2 linked regions of the Stegostoma tigrinum genome follow. The protein of the gene in region 1 binds, or shares a complex with, the protein of each later gene. Links are inferred from orthologs where the notes say so. Each region holds a gene or a part of one and is shown on either strand. Other genes may lie near its edges.

Region 1 (3,921 bases):
TTGTTCTGATACAAGGCAGGTATACACTGATACAGGTTGCAACTGGATAGATAGGTTAGAGCAGCAGCTGAATCGATACAGAACAAATATGCATGTCACTTAGCAATGCAGTATTTGCAAAGTGCAGTGATACAAAATGTACTGGAGACCGCAGCAGCATTAATTCTAGGTTTTGAAGGTAACAGCCAATAGCCTACAAAGACCCTAGAGAACATATAGAAAAGGTTGATGAGACTGGTTTCAGGGATAACAGAAATCGGTTACAAAGAGGCTAGAGAATCTGGAGTTGTTCTCCTTGGAACGCAGGAAGTTGAGAGATTTGATGGAGAAGATTAAAGTCATAAAAGATCTGGACAGAGTAGTAAGAAGCTGTTCACATCGGCAAAAGAATTGATAACCAGAAGGCACAGATTTAAAGTGATGCAAAAGAACCAATGCCAACTTGAGAAAAACGTTTTTGTGCAGTAAGTGGTATGAACTGGAATGCATTACTGCAAAGCATGATGGAGGCAGATTTAATTGTGACTTTCAAAAGAATTAAATGAGTAGTTGAAGGGGAAAATTTTGCAAAGCCATGGGGCAAGGGCAGAAAGATAAGAGGTGGGATTTAACAGATTGCTGTTTCAGGCTCTGGTCCAGATTCAACAGGCCAAATAGCCTTCTGTAGCCTTTCTGTGATTCTAACAAAGGCCAGAATCTCCAGTCAAAACCAAATATTACAATGCACAGAAAGAGTAATAACTCAGTCAGGATTTATTTCAACCTTCAGTTCAACCTGCTATAACTATGCAATCTCCTGTATGTTTGTTTAATTATCCTGTTATAAGGCAGCTTTATACAATTTTAATTTTTAAAGAAGGATGAAAATACTGATGGTCCTTTGTACTAACACTGTGGGCCAAACATTTTTTGGAGCAGGATACGTGCTCCGTTTGTTAATTCCTTTCCTTATCCTTCAGCTGGGTGGAGAATGGTGCCACAATTGCTCAAAGTACAAATCTAACAATGGTGCAACAAGATCAATGGGGCATCTCAGAGTGGAGGGTTAGGTGTCTAAAAATCTATCTTCTTAACCAATAAGATACAAAAAAATTGGCAGAAACAGGAGTGATGGAGAAGAAATAGGTTGAATTTAAGATAAATTAGACAAAGAAAGTGAAACCGAGAAAGAGAGGAAAAAAGATGGAATGGGAAAGTTAGAAAAAAAATCAAAACTTTTAAAATGTTTCCCAAAAGAAAATATGGAGGACTTATGGAGAACAACTGCATGCAGGAATCTCATGTTCTAATCTGCCTTTCAGTTTCTCTGCCATTTGCCAACACAGTTTCATTTGTTTTCTTCCAGGAATCAATAGATTTATTAGCATTACAAGAATGTAAATCTCATCCTTAAAAGGCACTTACATTCTTAAGTACTCACCTTATCTTAACAAACTCATCCTTCTTTAAGTTTCTTTAAAAGTTTTTTTTTGGCTAAGGCCATTTAATTAGTGTTAGGCAGGACTTCCATCAGTGTCCAGGAGAAAGCTCTGTCTTGTCGTGGAATGACAGAACTTTATGTACAGAAGAGGCCCTTCATCTCATTGAATCTGTAACGCCAAACCTATACAAATTCTACACTAATTCCATTTTCCAGCACTAGGTCTATAGTCTGGCAGCCCTAAATACAAACTGCTCCAGCAGGATGGGTGGACATTGCTGGTACTGTAGTTGGCCAAGGAGGTGGCATTCTGCAATGCATTCAGGCATGCAAGGACATCCACGACCTCAGCGAAAAGAAGCTGGCAACCCCTGGCAGGGGGAGGATGGAGTTGATGTTTGGCATGTTGATTAGGCCGAGGGTTGACATCGGAAAGCAAAACCGTGGGCACCAGGCATCCAGAGGGAACCATCCCTCTAACTAGCCAGCAGCCCACATGGTTAAACATACCAGGTACAGGCTGAGCACCAACATGTCTCACCACCTGTTAAATAAGAGCTACAGTGGGATATTGCCCTTATTTGAGCTTAATTGTCACTTTGAGGGCCTCAGGTGCTTCCCCCAACACTGCTACTAAATTTGGAATGGGGTGGGTGGGCCATCAATATCACCATTGGCACAGACCTCTGACTCACAGGTCCACCCACTAGATATCGTGCCAGCAACATTCTGGCACAATTTTGCAACGAAGAAGCACACAAATTAATAAATTGTGTAAGATTATTAATATATAACACGAACCTTTGGGAAACATGCAAGTACCTCAAACAGTTGAAAGCAATCTCTTAAGTCGATCATACCTGGCGTGAAATGATGAAGACCTCAAAGTAAAGGAAACAGCAAGAGATAAAAACATCCAAATTCTGAAACCAGTTTTACCCTGATCCGGCAGGTTCTTGTTGTTTCGGTTTCCCGGTGTTAAACTCGAAACAAACAAGTCGCCTCAGAAGAAGGATTTTGCAGAAGTTGGAACAGAGTTGGTACAGTTTGACTGGAGCGAGGACGGCAGGCTCGGTGTGCGCGTGCCCGCTCCCCGGCGCGCGCCTGTCATGCTCTCCGCTTTGGAACGTCCCCAGAGCCAGTAACTTCCATTCGAGAGGCGCATCCAGTAGAGGCGCCACTTGGCTCCTACCTGTCTGCTGCACGTGACCGCCGAAACCAGCTGCCTCGTAGGTGAACAACTCCATCTTACATTTAATAATTTACCAGAATTTGATGAGCCTACAAAGAATTTACCACTGGTGATTCCGGCCGGGGGAGAATTATTGCCATGCATTTGGAATTTATAATAATTGCTGAAAGATGTGTATAAATTATGGGAGGAATAGGAAGATAAAGTGACAGTTTTAATTATTTTCGAGTTTAATCATAACTTCTCCAGTCATAGTGTTTGTACATACTCATAAAACACAGAAATGAGTCGTAAATTCTTCATTGCCCTGTTTATTGCTCAGCGAGCAGCTAATGTAAACATGCCATTCCTATGTAATGGCTATTGCCATTATCTCCAAGGAGATTCACCTTGTATGTATTGAAGGTAATCATTGTTTGATTTAGTGACTGCTTTCAGTTTGCAGTTTTGTTTCCAAATCAAAAGATCAAATGGTCAGGTCCCACGCTGGAGAGGAAGAATGCGATTTGGGTTGAGGGGTTCTTGAGGCACAGTGGTAGAATCCCTATCTCTGAGCTAGAAAGCCCAGGATCAAGTCCCACCTGTTTCAGATATGTATCATAACATTTCATGAAAAAGTTGACTAAAATATCTGTGATCCAAGTTAATTACAGTATGAACAAAATGCTGCATAGTTGAATAACAAAGATATATTAAATTTATGGCTGTCTGCCTTCCTAGGATGGCTCTAAAAGATTCCATGCTGTTTTTGTTTTTAGAAGAAAGAGATGGTAAGGGATTTTGGCCAGGTTTTAGCGCTCAATCCTTCCTTCTTTTAGCTGTTCCCATGATACATGGGATCACCCTATTTCTTTTTGATCTCTCTCCAAGTCAGTATCATTTTCAGATTTGGCAGGTGCTGGTACAGCCAGATGTCCTTCTTGCCACTAATCCATCCCATTTATCCAAGCTGGGGAGCTGGCACTGACACACACTGGCTTTTGTGCAGCAGTTGTTCAGTTTTCAACAGGACCCGGAGCAAGATTTTACGCTGGGTCTTCCAGCTCAGAGACAGAAGAGCTAACTACTGAGCCACCAATTTAAAGTTGGGGCAAAAGATGTAGGGAGAATGTGAGGTTGAACTTACTTATTCAGCAAGTAGTAATAGCATAGAAACACAGAAACTGAAGTGGGCTTTTCTTCCATTGAACCTACCATTCAATTAATCATGGCAGATGATCTACCTCAGCACCACTTCCCCACATTATCTTCATATTCCTTTGTGAGTTTTGTGTCAGAGCATAATGTGGGTAAGTGTGAGGTTATCCAC
Region 2 (3,921 bases), on another chromosome or scaffold:
ATCGTTCTGATTTGGCCTGCGATGACCAATTAACAGTCAAAAGGCCAGCTCACAGTCCACCCAAAGACCATAGGTGGGCTCTCAAGGCTGGATGGTGATTCACTGGCCTTTCAGCTTGAAGGATACAATGAAAGGTGAGTAAGGATGAAGCACTTCAAAATGAAAGCACCCACTCTCCAATCTCTTTGTCTAAATTAAAAATCATTTTTACAGCTGGAGCATCAGGTTTTGGTGGGTGGGGTTTGGGTGAAGGGGTATGGGCATTCCTCTAATGGTTGCTGTTTGGTTGCTGTTGCACCTAGGAAGACCCAGAGGTATATTGGGTGGTTAAGAAGGCAGCATGCTTGCCTTCATTGCTCAGACGTTCTAGCATAGGCTTGTCTCAATCACCAGCCCAGCCTCAGCCTGTCTCCCACTGAAAGTCTGCCTCCAGGCAGCTGAGCTGATGCCCATCATCTATCTAAACTGGAGACCTGCTGGAAAATCCATCAGCCTTCTTTGATATTCCTGGCAGCCATTAACAAGATGGGATTGGCTATCTGCTGCTTGGAAACTGCAACCCTCAATCCTCCCTCCTCAAAAAATAGCTCTGAACAGATTGGGGCTGGGGAAGCTCGTGGCATTATTTTTAAGATGGTGGATAAAAATTAAGACCCAAGTTATTTTTAATCTAACAGCAGTAGTTTTCAGATGTCATCAAGCGCCCGTGTGAAAATTGTGTGTAGTAGGTAGGAATTCTGATTCCTTAGCAAATTTCATTCCGACTGACGAGATGTGTGCATCATTTAAGAAATTATGAAGAAAAGACTTTCCATTTAGGGCTCCTAACGCCAAGCATTTGCAAGTCTGTCAGATGTTGAGAAAAGTCCTCTACATTGATGTAACAACTCCAACTAGTTAGAATGCCGAACTTGGTACCACAATGGACTAGTTAAGGCGAAAAGCAAAGATGTATTTAAGTACAAACTGGATCAACATCTTAAGATGGAAAAGAACAGGACAGTTTGATAGGGTTAAACAAGATAAGGAGAGAGGAGTTTTGGTAAGAGCATAAACACCAGCACAGCCTAGTTAGGCTGAATGGCCTGCTTCTATGCTGGAAACATGAAGTTATCCTACGTAATTCGTAATCATTCCATATTCTCAGACCACAAATATTTTTTTCAAACTGTCCAATTTAACATTAATCATTCTCCTCACGTTATCTTAGTTGTGAGAGAAAGTTGAGAGAATAAATGATAGAGGACATAGAAATTTGAAAATAAGAGTGACATGAAGGTGAATAAATAACAGAAGGGTGAAAATGAGGTTCATAGAGAAAATGAAAAAGTAGAGGGAAATTGCAAAATGATGGGAAAAGACATAGGGAAAAAAATTCATTAATATCTAAGATAGAGCACATAAATAAGGGACAGGAGTGGAAGAAGGAAATTATTTGCAAGTGAGTTAGAAGAGTCACTTAGTGCTTAGTAGCAATTCAATTCCCAAGAGCAGAGGATTACAGCGGAGAATAGCAGGACAGAAAGAAGATATACAGTGGGACGTTGAATTTGCATTGTAAAATGCAACATGCAAGCAAATATTCCAAACATCTGTGAAATGCAAGTGAACAAAACATCGTGACTGAAAACAGCAGGTATCATCATGAGGAAAAAAGCAAGTGGTTTCTCTGTTTCTCCCATTTTTCATTACAGTGTAAGAGCTCAGATGTGACAACAAACTCCAGAAGTTTCAGTCTTGTGAAAGATCTTGTGTTTGTTTTGTCCAAGATGAAATCAGATCAACTGGAGATCAGGGAATAACTATCGAACTTGTAATGTTTGTAACTCTGAAGTTACCACAAGCTTCATCAGGGCAGAGTTCACTTCTACTCATTGCATTTAGAGAAGAAGTGTTCATAACAGTTAAAATTAATATAAAGCCCATTAAATTGTTGTGGATCTAATTTGGAGGTGGGATAGAAATCACCACAATTAGACTTGTATATGATTTTGCTTCTATTCAAATTATAATCAACATGATTATGATCATTGGGAAACACAAAATTGTGAAAGGATTTATTCCCATCGACAGATACCATTGCAAACTATAAGTTAGTGTCATACAATGGCAAGATTTTAAAAAGTTTTAATGACATTTCTCCATTCAGTGAGCCTTATTCCTGGAAACACTTTCCAGCCACCAATGCTCCTTCCCATATCCCATTTCCCCCAACTCTAATCTACCCCCAACATCCTACTCCAAAGTCCCAATGCCACAGATACTTTACAACCGTTGAGTGTCTCCAGCCCTCATCCTATTGCCCCAACTCCTATCCCATTGATCTCACTCCTTGCCTCCAGCTCCTGCCTTAGTTTCTATTTCGTTGCTCTGAGGTCCTGCCCCCAGTGCACCCCACTCCTGCCCTACTTTGAACCTCTTTGCCCCCTTGTTCCTGGCCGACTCAGCCAAGCCCACCCTCGTGCCCCCAATGTTATTACCCTGTCGCCCCCGCCCCCAGACCTTTACCTGGATGTGGCAGCCTCCTGAAGTGAGCAGCCACTGCAAACAGACCGAATTCCCGGTGGCCGCTGCATCGTGTGCCGGAGTAGCCCCATTCTTGGCTCGCTTATTCCCGGGTAGTTTCGCCTCTTCCACCAGGAATTTCACGGCGCTCAGTTGGCCGGATCGAGCGGCGTGATGGACTGGAGTCGCTCCGAGATGGTCGGTTACCTTCAGTTGGATCAAGCCCTGTTTCTGCAAATCCTGCAGCGTTAGCAGGTCCCCGTTCTTTGCAGCAACCAGCGAGCGGTCCAAAACCATTTTGAGGTTTTCTTCCTCAAATCACTAATTCCCAGATTGACTTGACCTCTTTCACTTTCTTTGGCGTGGCCATTTTACACTTGCGTCTGTTCCTTTTGTAAATCCCACTGGGCTGAACCATCCTGAATATTTAATGACAAGAGATTTGAATAATCCATAAGAGAGAGAGAGAGAGGCGGCACCAGGTTAGGCAAAGTTCTGGGAAACGGGAAGCGCTACTCTCATTGGAAACTGCCTGGAATTTACTGTGAGAGTCTAAACAGGAGCCTGTTAGACAGAGGCAAGGTTCTGAATGGGATTCACAGTTCAATTTCGTTTCATTGAATTGCCCTTTGTCAATAGATTATGTTAAACAACCCAAACAACAACAAAAAAAATGCAAAGATCTGCGGATGGTGGAAATCCAAAACATGAACAAAAATTGCCGGAGAAACTTAGCAGGTCTGGCACCATCTGTGGAGAGAAATCAGAGTTAACGTTTCGGGTCTGGCGACCTTTCCTCAGAACTGATTTTAGCTAGGAAAAAGTTTGGTGTACATTGCTGAAGATGGGGAGGGTGGATATGGAGCCCAGAGAGGTAGAAAAACACCTGGGCTGGCAAAGGAATGGGTAGAGGTCAGCCGGGGAGAACCAATAGCTGCTCATGTGGGCCATTAGTGGCTGATAAAGGGTTGGTTTTGGTAACAGTCCAGGTGAAGTTGAGGCCTGGGGTGTAGGGGTTCGGAGAACCGTAAACTCAGAACTCTTTTGGACTGGAAATGTTAACTCTGCTTTCTCTCCACAGATGCTGCCAGACCCACTGAATTTCTCCAGCAATTTCTGTTTTTGTTTTCAAACAACCTGCTCTGAAATCTACATAGCTCGAGTGGGACTTGGACATGTGCCTCCTGGCTCAGAGGCAAGGACACTGCCACTTCACCACAAACGCACACCATCCCCGTAACGACTCCTTCCACCACCCAATCCTGGTGCAATGTTCACTCTGAATTGAACAGCAACAGGTGGTTCAGTTGAGCTGAAAGAATTGCATTCATCCAGCTTAATGGTACTTTGATCATCCCTGGTAGGTACTGATGGCTCTGAACATTTCAAGAAAATAAACTCTACACCCAACAAGAG

The links.
Region 2: the proteins of myo3b (region 1) and espn are in contact, whole or in part, in a crystal structure (PDB 5ET1), measured with the Mus musculus proteins. The link is inferred for Stegostoma tigrinum from reciprocal best matches to the Homo sapiens genes MYO3B and ESPN. Residues at the interface, in XP_017174528.1 of Mus musculus: Arg1223, Arg1224, Gln1226, Gln1227, Pro1228, Lys1229, Met1230, Leu1231, Ser1232, Ser1233, Asp1236, Thr1237, Met1238, Tyr1239, Tyr1240, Asn1241, Gln1242, Leu1243; in NP_997570.1 of Mus musculus: Leu35, Ala37, His41, Arg45, Ala67, Asn69, Ala71, His75, Asp76, Ala79, Thr80, Asp101, Ser103, Leu110, Arg113, Phe114, Thr135, Thr137, Ala139, His143, Tyr144, Ala147, Thr169, Asn171, Tyr177, Leu178, Gln181, Ala203, Asp205, Met207.

What each region holds. Positions count from the first base shown.
Region 1 is NC_081360.1:50,928,102-50,932,022, reverse strand, and holds the start of myo3b (myosin-IIIb), read right to left. Parts: upstream 2,479-3,921; 5' UTR 2,337-2,478; coding exon 2,281-2,336; exon of another isoform or gene 2,201-2,280; intron 1-2,200.
Region 2 is NC_081381.1:19,872,670-19,876,590, forward strand, and holds the start of espn (espin), read right to left. Parts: upstream 3,053-3,921; 5' UTR 2,803-3,052; coding exon 2,509-2,802; intron 1-2,508. UniProt on the Homo sapiens protein: Multifunctional actin-bundling protein. Plays a major role in regulating the organization, dimension, dynamics and signaling capacities of the actin filament-rich microvilli in the mechanosensory and chemosensory cells.